Linked DNA regions of Neodiprion lecontei. The protein of the gene in region 2 interacts with the protein of the main gene of each other region in a biochemical or structural test. Links are inferred from orthologs where the notes say so. Each region holds a gene or a part of one and is shown on either strand. Other genes may lie near its edges.

The links. The genes of interacting proteins can lie anywhere in the genome.
Region 1: the proteins of E3 ubiquitin-protein ligase parkin (region 2) and ubiquitin-conjugating enzyme E2 N form a complex in vitro, tested with the Homo sapiens proteins (6 studies listed by BioGRID). The link is inferred for Neodiprion lecontei from reciprocal best matches to the Homo sapiens genes PRKN and UBE2N.

Annotation. Positions count from the first base shown.
Region 1 is NC_060264.1:30,169,338-30,176,152, forward strand, and holds ubiquitin-conjugating enzyme E2 N, read right to left. Parts: upstream 4,217-6,815; 5' UTR 4,204-4,216; coding exon 4,169-4,203; intron 4,097-4,168; exon of another isoform or gene 3,565-4,096; intron 3,525-3,564; exon of another isoform or gene 3,298-3,524; intron 3,141-3,297; coding exon 2,889-3,140; intron 2,787-2,888; coding exon 2,576-2,786; 3' UTR 2,274-2,575; downstream 1-2,273. Other genes in the region: S phase cyclin A-associated protein in the endoplasmic reticulum, read left to right, coding at 5,718-5,928, 6,201-6,815. UniProt on the Homo sapiens protein: The UBE2V1-UBE2N and UBE2V2-UBE2N heterodimers catalyze the synthesis of non-canonical 'Lys-63'-linked polyubiquitin chains. This type of polyubiquitination does not lead to protein degradation by the proteasome.
Region 2 is NC_060260.1:36,825,719-36,833,923, forward strand, and holds E3 ubiquitin-protein ligase parkin, read right to left. Parts: upstream 4,582-8,205; 5' UTR 4,373-4,581; coding exon 4,115-4,372; intron 3,982-4,114; coding exon 3,768-3,981; intron 3,564-3,767; coding exon 3,194-3,563; intron 3,110-3,193; coding exon 2,908-3,109; intron 2,805-2,907; coding exon 2,628-2,804; intron 2,540-2,627; coding exon 2,405-2,539; intron 2,332-2,404; coding exon 2,247-2,331; intron 2,112-2,246; coding exon 2,002-2,111; 3' UTR 1,873-2,001; downstream 1-1,872. UniProt on the Homo sapiens protein: Functions within a multiprotein E3 ubiquitin ligase complex, catalyzing the covalent attachment of ubiquitin moieties onto substrate proteins. Substrates include SYT11 and VDAC1.

The sequences.
Region 1 (6,815 bases), on a different chromosome or scaffold from region 2:
ATGTGTATATGGTTATACTATACTAGTCCATACAAAGATAACAATAAACTGTAATTTTGAATTCAAATTCAAAATTCTATCCATTCCTTTGTACATATTTTATCTATGCTAGCTTCGTTGTTGCAAACATTTTTTTTCTAACAATCGATGGACCATTCGTACTTTAAAATTTGCATACAATCTATTGCAGGGTCTTTATTATTTCAAATATTTTATAGGGATGAAGATCGTAATGATCATCCAAACGCGTTGCGAAAAAAGGTTTCATTAAATCTCTCGTACAACAGACGGATTTTCCTCGTGAAGCTTGACTTGGGATTACGTTCATTTATCAAGATTTTCCTTTGTAATGCGTGAATTTTACTGCCTATAATTTAATTGGGATTTCATTGAATTTCTTTTTACAACGGCATTGTCCCTACCACCTTCTCACAATTCAAAATCAACCCTTTAACTACCCCCTTTTGATAAAAAAATCTTCCTGATCTGAATAATCCAGTTGATCGTGGGTAATAAAAATTTCTCCCTGAGAAAACTCGGAAATTTAGGAGAGTTTGATCCAATGAGACAATATTTTTGTTTAAACAACCTAGTTTATTAATACATAATAGTTACAATAATCATTATTACAATGTAACACAGCGTGTGTGCATATAAGTCTGTTTATCCGTATTCCGAAGTCTCTGTGTGTGTATATCTTCATATGTACAAAGAAATCACTCACTCGGAGTTAACATCACACCGGCGGCTTATAAGCTTACCGCCATCACTTTATTTTCCAGTCAAATGATTCCTTTTTCTTCCGGTTTAAGAAACGAAGTATTTCATTTTCTTGTCATCTTCAAGAAAATTATACGTATACACACATAAGTAATAATTATTATCATTATACACAAATATATGGATGTAGATTAAGGAATATTGTATACTTCATTACTAGGTCCGTCGACTTTCACGTATAGTATACTTTAACCAAATAATTCAGTTCATATCATCATTTTATTGTTCATAAATATAGTACATCTTCGTTTGCAGTTCCTTAAATAATGATCGATGATCCTTATCTTTCTCTTTCTCTCTCTATCATTCTCTCTTTCTCTCTATATATGTATGTATAACATACTATAATCACGGCTTCGCTACTGTATACCATACTATCGGCTAGTAATTTATAATCTGTTTTATTTCAGTTCGATATTCTTTACAACACAGGTTAATCGCATGACCAGATTATTCAGATTACACGTCTCTGCACTTGAGTTGGTAATATTCTTTGTTTTCATTTTAAGATACATGCTTCAAATCTATCCAAACATCAAATAAAAATAATTTGCTTCTAGTAGATGTTATTTCAATAAATAAATCCTGCAGTTGATAATTTTTACACGTAACTGTGGTGGCTAACTTCTAGAAGGCAGCAACAGTCACAAATACGTACAATTCTTCCCCATAGGGAACTATGTATGTATATACAATTGATACTATCATTCGTTGTACTTTATAAATATTCGTACACATATATAAAAAACCCCTAATAATTGCATAAATCCCAACAATTTAGTAGTAATGGTAGTAGTAGTAGTAGTAGTAGTAGTAGTAGTAGTAGTAGTAGTAGTAGTAGTAGTAGTAGTAGTAGTAGTAGTAGTAGTAGTAGTAGTAGTAGTAGTAGTAGTAGTAGTAGTAGTAGTAGTAGTAGTAGTAGTAGTAGTAGTAGTAGTAGTAGTAGTAGTAGTAGTAGAAGTAGTAGTAGTAGTAGTAGTAGTAGTCTATGAAAATGCTAGCCAGTACCAAATACTAGTAAAAATTCCAACTGACGATTATCTCTATGTTGTTATATGGTAAAATCACGTAGTGAGTATTATTATATTCCACATCTGTGAGAGCTCAACCAGTCAGTTAATATACAGCAGCTCTGCCATTCTCCTAAAAACTCGTATCACATATATGAAGAGTCGATCTATGGATTCTACCTTCTCACACGTCACTAGAAGCGTAGTTCAAAATAACGACTCTGTGAATCGTCGAGATAAAAACATTTTTCTTTCAGATAAAAAAAAGCGTAAAGAACCGATGTCTTTTTTCGAGTATTTGTGTGAATTTGCAACTCTATTGCTCTGATTTTCACCGCCGTTATTCAATTTGGATACATAATCAAGAGAGTAAAAAAATTAAACAAACGGTAATAAAATGGAAATAAATTTAAACGTCGAAACTGTGTGAATAATATCGAAAATAGAAAATGCAGTCTGTCATTTTAATTATAATACGTATAATTTTATTAGAAAAAACCTTTTATTCTTTCAAATAGCAAAATTTTCGACAGAGGTGCAGCAGTAGCAGCAGCAGCAGCAGTAGCGGCAGCGACAACAGCATCAGTGGCAACAGCAGGGGACTGAGATAGTATGTTAGTCTGGTGGAGGAAGGTGACAGGGTGGTGGTGCAATTTGTTCGAGGTCTAGGAGGAACAAGGTGGTAACGGGAACAAGGATCGTAAGATGGGGACGATGAGGCATTGGTGTTTTTGCCATGCGCCATGCGTGCGAGAGGAAGGCTCCGATAACGGACCAGGCTGAGATCAGTTGTCCATGGCGTATCTACGGGTCCATTCTTTGGCATTGCGTATCGCTTCACCTTCGTTAATCTTCCACAATTCGGCGACATCGTTTGCTAATGGATCATCAGGGTTTGGTGCACTCAAGAGAGCCTGTATTGATAGCAGTACTGTCCTTATCTGAAGAGCAGGACTCCATTTGTCCTTCAATATATCCAGGCAGATTCTGCCCAATCTGGTAACATGAAACCAAATACAATCAAATGTTTTAGTTATCAGTTCAGCTTTTTCAACAGTTTACATTGTAGAATACATTATAATAGTAGATGTAGCATACCTGTCTATATTGGGATGATATATTTTAGTAATAAATCTAACTTTAGGGGCTGACATAGGGTAATCCTCTGGTAAAAATAATTCTAGTTTAAACAGTCCGCCTTCGAACGGTGAGTCTTCGGGACCTGTTACAATGACGTGAAAGTATCTAGCGTTTGCATCGTCTGGTACAGCGCTGATGCCAGGGACCGGCTCCTGCATCAATCTCTGCGTCTCTTTTATTATACGGCGTGGTAGGTCCGCCATTATTAATCTGTAAGAAAAACGATCGACGACAATATGAAATCAGTGTCAGACAAAGTCAGCGAACTAAGGAGCGAAGAATAAACAGGCAGTCAATAACCTTACAGCAAAAGCAAAATGCAAAGTACATATATGTCAAGCCAAAAGTCTACAGCAATGATACGTACATATACAAATAGTTATCACGAATTTGTGTTATCAACTTTTCATTCTCTGATCAAAAAATCAAACGAGACATAATAGGAGTAAAAATGGAAGGAAAAAAGTACGGCAATCTCTCGCGAAAGCGGGATGACGGCACTTATATTCGAGTAAACAAAGGCGTATATCATTGGGCGGCGAGTAATTTCGACATTAGATCGAAGCCGTTGATCGTGCTGTGGCAAGCGATGGGTGTTTGCATTGCGGAACAGTAACTGTAACAATGTACGTACATTTTGGTTTAAAAAAATGTGCCCGCGTCACCCCGAAGGTCTGGCAGTATGCGTACTCCGTCACTGTTACTGGGGGTATTCGTGATCGCCTGCCAGCTCTCGCAAGATCCTCGGTGGTGGTGTACTACTTCCAGTTAGCGGTTTAATCGTGTATTATATTTTCTATTCTCGTTCGCCGATATCTAGCGAGGCTCTTCACCTTTTGGTTAAGTACAAATTAGGTTAACACGAGCCGGATAGTGAAATTAGAATTTTAGATAATCTACTAGTACCTAGGCTTTGATTTCTATTATGAAAAGAAAACTAATTTAATTTTTTAACACGATCAAGTGTGTGTATCCACAGCTAGGTTCTGTGTTTCTTGCAATTTCGATAGTTAACTTCCTCATACGCAGGTGGCGACAGTGGAGCGGAACGGGAATGGTGGATGATATTATTCAGTCTCGCCAATTTCGTCACGGATTGTAATTTCATTCGCTTGCTTTAGGCAAATGCGATAGTCAGGTTAACCTTAATCATCGACAAAAATTGACCAGCATATTATGAGCTATTACATTCACTTGTGCAACTTTTTTATGAATTGGATCGTAAAATAAAAATTTACCCTTGACGCCACAAATCAAGGGCATCCCAACACATGCGGCCGGTCCGGAACTTCAGCGTGTCTGGATTTTCATGGACAGCAGAATGCTGTCGCAGAAGCGCTACCTAGAATGCGTTCCGAAATTATCTGGCAGCGCCAAAAACTCTCTAGTACAGAGGCAGCGCTATACCCAAAATTGGCAGCGCAAAAGAGATGAAGGATTGTTGACACACAGGCTGCTATCGGAGCGCACCCCTACAGTGCCGCAAAACGGATTGTAGAGTAACCTGATCTGAAGCGTTATCTAGACCAGTCAGAAGGCAGCTTTAAACGGAAAATCTTCTTTTAACAAGTGCAAAATAAGTCAGAATCAGGCCCCTGCTTTATTGACATTCCTATTTGTCGAAAACTCGGTCGCGAAATAATATTGTATATTGCTACCCGTGAAAATCTAGGCTAAGGTCTCTCGTCTCCATGAGCTTAGACTTCGAAAGCGAGCGCGTCGACTTGGAACGTTGACTTATGGTATAGCCAAGATACAACGTAACGTGCATCAACGAGAGAGTTGTCAACGTTGAAAATACACGTAAAATTTGTAATGTTTGTTTACTATTATTCTTATACGACTCCTCTAATTTCAATTAATTTGAATTAGTAATACCGATCAAGCTTGCCGCTCGTGTCAAGCCAATGTCGTCAGGTAGGTAAGTTAAATCCCTTTCTGTTCTACGGAGCGTGACTCTGTCGACAACGATTAACAGAAGAGCACAGACCTGTCATCATTATCGTTTCAAAAGTCAAATGCGTCAGGAGCACGGAGACGTCATGTCATTGTTTCAAGCGTGTCCTCGCGTCTCGTTAACCCGTCGTTATAAATAAATAAAACGTATCACCGATCTATTTCGATTAAACGGAGCGTCAGAATTTATCTTTCTGGTATGTATCTGCTCCTTTCTATGGATGAAATGTATGTGCACACATGTATCGTATTATCAACATCGCAATGTTTACATACAAATTTACGTGAAACTTCATCACGGACGTCTGCCTCGTTCACACGCAGTTAATTATAATAATATTATCAGCCGTTAATACCGATTTTATCAAAGAATCAAGATCGCGATGCCTTTTGTTATCATTTGTTTACCAGCATGACCGAATTAATTTAACAAATGATAAGAATTCGTCAATCGGTGATTCAGCTTGATATAGGTATCTATTGTTTTCGCTGATCGCCTACCTAACCTGTAAAAATGATCGAAATATACTTGCAAATTTCAAGACGAGCCCCCAATTCTCATCTTTTGACAGCACTAAAATTGCTATTATTGATCGAATGATTTAGCCAATAAAAATTAATTACCTGGGCACTTTGATCTTCACTCAGGTCGTTGAAATCTAAAAATTTATTGAATCTCCCAACCCAAGTTTCGGCTCTGTTAAAATGAATCATATTGAATTTTCTTTTCCAGCACATTGGACGTCACCATAGCAGCTTTTCTCCCTAATTCATTTCTTGAAAATCATTTAAAACTCTCACGTACGTGAGTATTAATAATATACGGTAGGAATGGCTGATGTCAGACTCCTTATTCAAGAAGAAGGTCGTTCAGCTCGCAATTTGATAGCATTCAACGTCCCAGTTGTGTCAAATAACACTGAAAAGGTCCTTCGCAAACCACCAAGCATTCCAAAAATCTCTCAGCCAACACCGACCAAAAGGTGTTCAAAACCGACAACCAGAGTAAGATCAGCATCAACAGGAAGAGATAAAAAATCTGGTGGGTTGGTCGACTGTCTAAAAATAGATTGGAAAGAAATCAGAAAGAGACTGATTTTCTTATCGAGCCATTTTGAATATTTTTTTTATCAGGGGTTACTGGTTGTCAACATTCGACTTATTTTTACTAATTTGCAGGCAATGCTATGAACATTTGATTTGCTTCTCACTTATTTTCACTACATAGGTCACTTTTTTCGTGATTTTATCAATTTGTCTTATTTGTGACCAATTGTGTCTTTATGTATCCATCATTCTACAAATTCTTTTCAGAACTTCAGGCCAGATACTGGGCCTTTCTCTTTGGCAATCTTCAGCGGGCTGTAGATGGAATATACCAGACATGTGAAGAGGATGAGAGTATATCTGAGTGCAAGGAGGTAATACTAGTCCTTGAAAATTACACCCGTGATTTTCACAATCTGATAGAATGGTTCAAAGTAAAATGGGCCTATGAGAGCACTCAGCCTCCACTAAGGCGTGTGCCGCTGGCTTGGGAGGTGAGAAAAACTTCTCCCGGCAGAGCTTGGGGGTCGTCAGGAACACAGAAATCTATCAGCCCTGTCCAGAGGTCGAGTCCCACAGGATCATCATGCAAGAGTCCAGTCGACCAAACGATTATCGAAGACAAAGTAATCGTCACTGATATACCGGCTAAAGTTGCAGCCAACAAGGATCAAGAATCTGGTCTTACCAGGCCTGGAAAAGACTTAAGAAACACTTCTGAAAGTGTTTTAAAAAACGAGGTGAAGTCCTTCAAAGATAAGCCCAAAAATCTGAACGAAAAGGTTTTGGAGCCTGTTCAGAACAGGGGGAAATCGTCTCCTTTGAAATTAATTGCCTCTAAAACCCCCTCCAAAAGGACAGAGGTGAGAAGTCAAAATAAGT
Region 2 (8,205 bases):
AAATTATCGTTAGCGAAAATTTAAAATTTTGAACGATGGAGGAAAAATCGTGAATTTTAGATACGCTTTTCGTAAAAACGTTGTACATTAAAATTAAGAAGTTTCCGGTGCATTGTACGAATAGTATCGTAAAGATAGCCTTTACGAATGTTCGAAAACGGAAATTTCAAAATAATGAGAAAATCATTTAGAAATTCATGTGCACTTGAAAAAATCAGCGAATTCATTTCCTAAAAATTTGTTAAAACTTTTGGACATTATTATAATTCAAATTTAATTTTCATATCGTTTTTATTGTGGTTGATTTTTTCCGCTTTTCATCTTATCATAAAGAATTCAGTACTGTCGAGACTCACTTTTGGGTGGGAATGTATAGCCAGTACATTCTTAAAAATATTCACGCAGAGTAATTTGCTCGTACTTGTACCGAATGATTTACCCTTAACCACGATTTTTTTTCCACCATTTTCCGAAAGTAATCAATCTAAACAATAGAATGTAAACAATGATGATGGGAATCCGTACTTTATCTTTAAACTAATCATGTTTATTGTTTATCGTTCATCGAGGCTCGCGCGACAAATATAGAGCTCGAAGGTAGATGCTTATTTTAAAAAACACTGCAGGCTGCAGGAGAAGATAGTTTCCATTTTTAACGTGAAATATTCAAACTGTGTAGAAGACGCGCGCGTTTACTGTATGATTCCGGTCAAATATAACTAAGACTAAAAACTTTTAATTCTATCACTCCCACTCTCACAAACAAATCTCAACTTTAATGTTTGACTACACCGTAAACGTTTTACTTCACCCTTGTTCCTGTAATATTATACCTCAAATTTTTCAAATACGCACATTATAAATGTTAACGTAATTGTTATCGATAAAACCGAGACGACAGTATACGATAGTAAAGAGATGATTGTTACTGTTATAATGCAATTGAGGAGGCACACACACGTAAATTACAATAATTTTACGGTAGTTGAAGTCGGTAGTAATACCTACGTAAGTCGGAACAAAATCCGTCCATTTGAAAGAATGTCTGGCGAATTCTTGTCGCCTGTAAATAAGATACGGCTACGAATAGGATAATTATAGGTAATTAGCATAGGATTACAGAAGATTATCGTCTCCCAGGACAGCATTAAGGTAGTTCCTGCCATTTTCGTACACACAGACATGCGCCCCTCAAGTACACAAGCTTTGTTGGCGGTCTCTCTCACTCTCGTTGGCTCGCGTCGTACGTACCGTAAAATCCTCAACTTTGGATTAAAATTACTCTGAAACGGTACAGTGAAATATATATTACAATCAGCGAGGGAAGTTTTTGTCCGATGCTTTAACATACTCATTTTTCATTAAGATTCTCAGAGATAGGAAGTCAGGTGTAGATAATTGAAACTTTGACAATTAATATCTCGAGATTGATACGGTCAAGCTCACTCAATTTTGATAGCTGATGTAAAATACTGTTATGAAAGTGTGTACTTTTTTCTTAGAACGATTGTAAGAAAACTCATTTTGGGAGGAACTACCATAATAATATAAGCTATTATCGCGGTAAAGTCCTTATACTGTATAATTAAATACTCAGATACACACAGTGTATGTTTGCCTAAAGCTTAAGTAGTAACGGTAATATCCATATCCTAGAGACGCGAATTGTTAATTTGCCGCCTATCACTTTCCGATATACCTAGAAAATTTTTCAACATCGACTTACACAAATTTACTATAATGATAATAAAACCGTGAGTGTTCAGTGCTCTTATTTTTTATTACCATGTAAATATTGTACAGCCTGTAGGCGATTGAGAGGTTTCAGGTATAGAGGCATAAAGGGTGTATTCTGATGATAAAAATAAAAAATTGAAAAGAACAACAATTTATTTCACTACGTAGGTAAATACCTATCACAATTTTACCTGGCTTTCGAAGTTGCATTAACCTGATCCCATCACAGCATAAACAATTGCTGATATAAATAGTTTCAGAACATCATCCGAACCAATGACTTCCCATACAGTCTCTCGTCCATTCCGTCTGACAAACCCAGCACCACTGGAAACTACAGCCAGCTCTTGTACAAACCATGTGCATACAGCCACCTGCCAATCATTATTGTTCCCCAATCTCAATAGTTCATTATCATTTCCATATCCAAATTATGGCAAATATAACGGGCAAGCGAGTTAAAAACTCTTAATAAGGTAAGACTGAAAAATATACGTGAATAAGCTTACCATCTCGTTCAGTCGGTGTTCTACATTTCGGACATGGTTTCGTCGATATTTGAATGGTCTTCTTACTCGCTTCGTCCCACTTGGCCTGGAATTAAAATTAGGTTATCTGTGTGATTGTTTATCGATTCAAATAAGTAAATAAAAATAGTGTTACTTACCTCGCTAGCTCGCAGAGGATCAATTGCATAGCCTGAAAGACAGGAGACGGCGGAGGTAGAAGAATACGTCGTAGGCTGTTGTGAGTCACATTCACCTACGTGGAAACCTTGCAAGCATCGCCTACAGAAAACATACTATGGGAAAACACTGAATTATAGTGGTTTTTCAGCAGTGAGTAAGAGCTAAATGTCCTCGAGTACTGGCAACAATTTTATCACGTACCCCACAACCACCAATACATTGAATTCTACGACAGTCGTCCTCATCCGGGGATCGACTACGCTCCTCATCAGTCTGATCAGGTGGAATAATTCCCATTCCGCAATCAGGCCTCGGGCACAGAAGTCCTCCTGCCCTTAGAACGTATTCCTCAGTTCCAAATCGTTGGTACTGCTCATACTGTAATTTGAATTGCATTCATTCATTGGTAATCCAATGATATTTATGGAATGAGTGTGACGGTGAAAGTAGAAGAGGCCAATAATTTTAGGTACCGCTGTACCTGCTCAGGTGAGAGAAGACGGAAGTGATGAACTTCGGATATGTGCGAATTTTGGCAACCAGCCGGACATGGCAAGGTATAGTATCCGTGGTTGTCGTCAAACTCAAACTGACGATCCCGCAGACGAGCCACGCAATAGTCCCGGAAGCAGTCCAGGCAGGTTACATGTCCAGCCTCGCAAGGGAAAACCAGTACCGTGTCCCTGAAAAGTATTAACAAAGCTTGTATTAATTCTTCTTACGTTTACTTCTACACCAATTATTTATGTGCCAAATCAAAGCTTTACCTTGTATCCGTGCAAGCCAGACAAGGTACATTTCTCAGATTTGGTTTAATCAAATAAAGCGGTACCGCCTCATCTTTTTCTCCAAGACTCACGTGATTGGCGCACTTGAAATAAAACTGCGCGTATCTCACTTGAGGAGTACCTTCATCCTTCTGTGCTAAGGAAGACAGTAATGTCTGACAATCGTGATTCTCACAATGTACAGTTATTCTACGAGGCTGCTGCACGTCAGGCCAACACTGAGGGTCTCGATCCACAGTCACAGCCCCGCTACCACATGTCGCGCATCTCACTCTCAGCTTTCCTGCTTCCACTGATTTACATGGCAGCGAACAGTAAACGTAAAAATGGGCACGGGCTTGTTGCTGCTCTGTAAAATCATCACAACCACCAAATTCAAAAGAGTATTGTGATAATAATTACAGCTTAAAAACACTGCAGTGTAATTACGTAAACATATATTGACCAATTTTTTTGTTCCGTTCAACAAGAAATCTACTACTCGAGAATTCTATCGTCAAGACTTTAATCCTACAAAAGTCATTGCAATGGGGAAAACTAAATGTATGAATACCCTGCTCGCTGTGATTTTCATGACGGTCCGAATCCTCCAATGGTAAGTCGATCAAAGTTTCGTTCAGAGGTTTGCTTCCACTTTCATTTGCTTCCGATCCTTCATCTATAGATTCTTCGATAAGATTTTTAGTATCTTTTTTTCTATTAAGGCGATTTTTTCCGGGTGGCAATTTTATGGCATGCAAAATACTTTGCTGACCAAGATCGCATTCCTAGACAACAGATAAAAATATTTACATTTCAGATTAGAATTGAGGTTAGGTAGAAAAACACAATTGTTAATAACTAAATTTTGTACCGTAATAAAACGACACTTTACTGCTGATTATACGATTGTTAACATACCTCTATTATCGTGGAATTGTGCAACTCTTTACCAGCAAATATGATCTTGATATCTTCGGGAGATATGCCAAGCTGAGGCCCGACGATCTCTTTTAGGTTTCTGATGTCCCATTTCGGATCCAAATCAATGGAGAGCGTATTTCCCGTGTTAGTTTTCACGTAGATACTCAACGAGTTCGATATCTTTCGTTTTCCGAACCAAATCAACTGCAACATTCTCAAAAAGGCACCCTTCAGAAGATTGAACAGAAAACTCATTATAGAGTCTTTAATATCGAAGCAGTTCTACGTAGAATTTTGCTTTACGGTAACACCAAATGTTATCGCGATAAATGTGGAGGAGTACATGTTTGCATATGAAGCGTATTTTCTGCGTCAAATACGTATATTTTACAACCTTCAAAAAATCATTTCGAACCATTCGAACCCAAATTAGGTGCGAGATATATTCTAGTCAGACGCAGAGTGCAGCACTTGACTGTTGGGGCTGATAAAGGACATATTCTATTCGCCATCTTTTGAAAATGAAATGGTTGAAAGACTCACCTGATTGGTCAATATTCGAATATCAGCCAACCGGCTGCTTTTTCCAAAGCTTTCATTTTCAAAACGTGACAAATAAAATGCACCCAATATTTCACGCAGCATCGATTCAAATCAGGTAGCTCAGACCTGTACAGATGAATATTTATATACCGATCTGTTACTAGCCAAAGTATATACTATGTACGTTACCTTAATTATTCGATTGAATTATGAATTTGCAATCAATTCTTCCCCATGCGGGAGTTTTAACAATATTTGAGTTTCGTGCCGATCCCGTGAGCAAATAAAACGCTAGTATAACGGTAGCAACCCACTGAATTTCGGTTGTTTCGGTCAAAGAGGATAGTTTCAATCACGGTTTCAATGCCGAGTAGGCACTGAACTCTGTAATATATTTCGTCTCTACGTTTCTTGGCTTCATAATTATCATCCGATAGCATTGTTTTGGTAAAATAAAGTTCAAAATTTCCACCAGTGAAGATATGAAAATAGCGAAACCTCAATCAGATGTGATTGAAAAGAACCAAAAGTGGTGGCTGCGCTTTGTCCCTGATGCCAAAAAGTGGACCGATGTGAACATTTTAAGGTTTTTAAGCATCTACAAAGTTCATCCTATATTATGGGACCCTACGCATTCATTTTACAAAGATCGATCGAGAAGGATGAAGGCGTACGGTATAATAGCTAGGAGATTGAACTTGCTTGGTGTGAGTGAAAGAGAATGTATCAGATTAATGGAATCTCTGAAAGCCATGTACGCAGAAGAGATGAGGAAACAGATGATCGAAAAAAGATGCAGTCGAAAATATGTGTTTCCGTCAACCTGGTATCGCATTCTTGAAGAGATGATAGAATCTGTTCAAACAAAGTTAGCACAATCATCCGACAAGGGTCAGTAAAAATTACGTTGTCTGCTTCTAAGGTTGTGTGAAAGTAACAAAAAAAAAACTTCTTTCAAGTCTCCTCAGTAAAAGCAGAACCTGCAAAACCATGGCAAGCCTGCTGCCCAAGATTATACACCGAAGATATTTGGACACCGGAGCATTTCAAAACAAACGTCATGAATTGGTTTCTCGCACCGCAAGACCAGCAACTATTTTGCACCTGTCAACATTTTTCCGAAACAACTGTCGACAATAAATCAGACACAGAAAAGAGCTCCGATAATTCAGATTCTGTGTGCAATTCTAGTAACGGAATAAATCCATCAGATTCTTCTGATACGTGCTGTCCCAAGATTTGTGGAGGTAAGATAATCAAATTACTTACGCAAGCGAACGCTGTAGGGTTGAGAAATAATGCTTAATGTTTGATAGAAAATCCAAGCAATCATCACAGTAAAATTCTATGTTGCATAGATTCATTGTACAGCAAAGAAGAGGATAGCGACGTCAGTGTGGATTTGCTGTCATGTTGCGGACAAAATGATAACAGTAATTATCGGTATAAATATGGCAAGAAATCCACAAAATGTAAATCAAAGAAGCAGCACCGATGTATCAAGGAAGATGGAGGTTTATGTGAAGACAATTCATCCTATACGACAATTTGTCAAGAAAAATTGAACGTTTGTGGGAACGAACCTGCAGAGAAACCGTCTACTGAAATTTCGACGTGTCCAAAGAATAAGTTAGTCGATATTCCACTAAAGAATTTAATCTCCAAGGGTCTCTAGTCTAACTGATTAATTTACGATATTCGAGTTCCCCACGGAGATGCAAAAATATTTGTGTATTGGTTTTTTAGTAACGCACTTTGTGACAGTACAAATGTCTGCGGTAATGGATATCAGGACAAACCTTCACTCTGCGGAGGTGAATCGGAAATTAGTAAAGACTCACCAATGCGATGTGACTTGCAAAGTAGCACAGATAAATTCTCTCCCCATGATCCATCACAAATGTCATTCGAAACACCGATGATCCGCCCTTGTGGGCCTAGGCATGTTCTGGATTTCTGCTCCAGTCAAAGTCTTAGTGATGACAGTAAAGGAAGTGAATTGTCGACAAAACGTGAGACCTCAACCACAACGCAATCAAACGATACTTGTCTCTCAGACAGCGGTAAATTATCATCCTCGTTATCAAACAGTTCCGAACAAACCTCCTCAGTAGATTCAAACTGTAAGCCGATATGTGTAAAAGAAGAATCAGATCACAGATTGGATTATCATGTAAGTAGAATTGACTTGTGCATCAAAAATGTAATGCTTTTATAATCTCACTCGAACTACAATTTGCTTTATTGCCTGCATTATTTCACAGCCCGACCCAACTCTGTGTGAGAAATGCGCAGCGGACAGAGTTCCTGTACCAGCAGTGCATAAGAACGTTTTATTTTTCCAAGACCCTGGAATGCCAGAGCTGGATAAGTACTGTCGCTATAAAGACTGGGACCAGATATACAATATCAGAACTCAAGTTCCCGACGAAGAACCAAATATTCAGATAGACACGGACTGGTTACTCATGATGCAGAGTAAAGACGAACCGTCAAAACCAAAGAGAGACAATCATTTGCACACCCAAGCAGATGTACACCTATTTATAGATCCAGAATCGTCTGAAGCTAGACAAGTGAGTTTGAATAATGAATATAAGCATGAATATGGATTAAATATTCGAATCAAGCAGCCTGGGCATTACGCCTGCAAAGTCCCTGATGCACCAGGTGATAAGCCTGCACAGCTTATGTTGTGAATGGGGAAAATTCGGGAAGTACAAAAAGCTTTCGGTGTTATTTTCATGATGCTTAGGTAACTTTTAGTCTGTATTCGCGAGCTTTCAATGACTGAGGTATGGAATATAAATATTTAATAAAGAAGTTGGTATAGTAAGTTGACGGGTTTAAAAGAACTTAAATTTTTCAGCTGTACTAGCTCTTAGCCTTTATAAGGTTTTACCAAGAGCCTCTTTTTATTTTTATTTCTTGATGCATAAATTTTCATTCTCAACACACTGTGCACTAACATACAATTCACACTGTATTTGAAAATATGTTCGATGCGTTAGGATCATTAATATAGATTCATTATAACGCAGTTATTACATTTACCCAAAACAAATGGGCAGTCAAAAATCGATAATTTCTCAATCATACGTCATATTTATGAACATGAGCTTAGATGTACGAAAAAAAAAAAAATCACCATAAAAATGATGAAGAGTTACAATTTTATAGTTTTAAGAATCGAAATATTTTTTATACATCATTCATTTCATGCGCTCTCTACAAAACAGCACCCACTGCGTTATTGGTAGATCAAAATTGAAGCGCATAAAATAAAATAATGATTAAAGTGTGAATAAATATACATAGTTATACACATGCGTACATATAACATATATTGAAGTGTGCACTTCAGTTATAATTTTCAAATATACTCAAATTCATTGCATGAAATTGATAAAATTAATAAAATTCGAATCACTTGATATGATAAACTTCAATATTTACAATAGTTAATACATTATGTTTTTTTCCAATTCTAAACTGACATCGGGCGATTTAATAAATAATGGGCACCGCCACTCGCACTTAGCAGC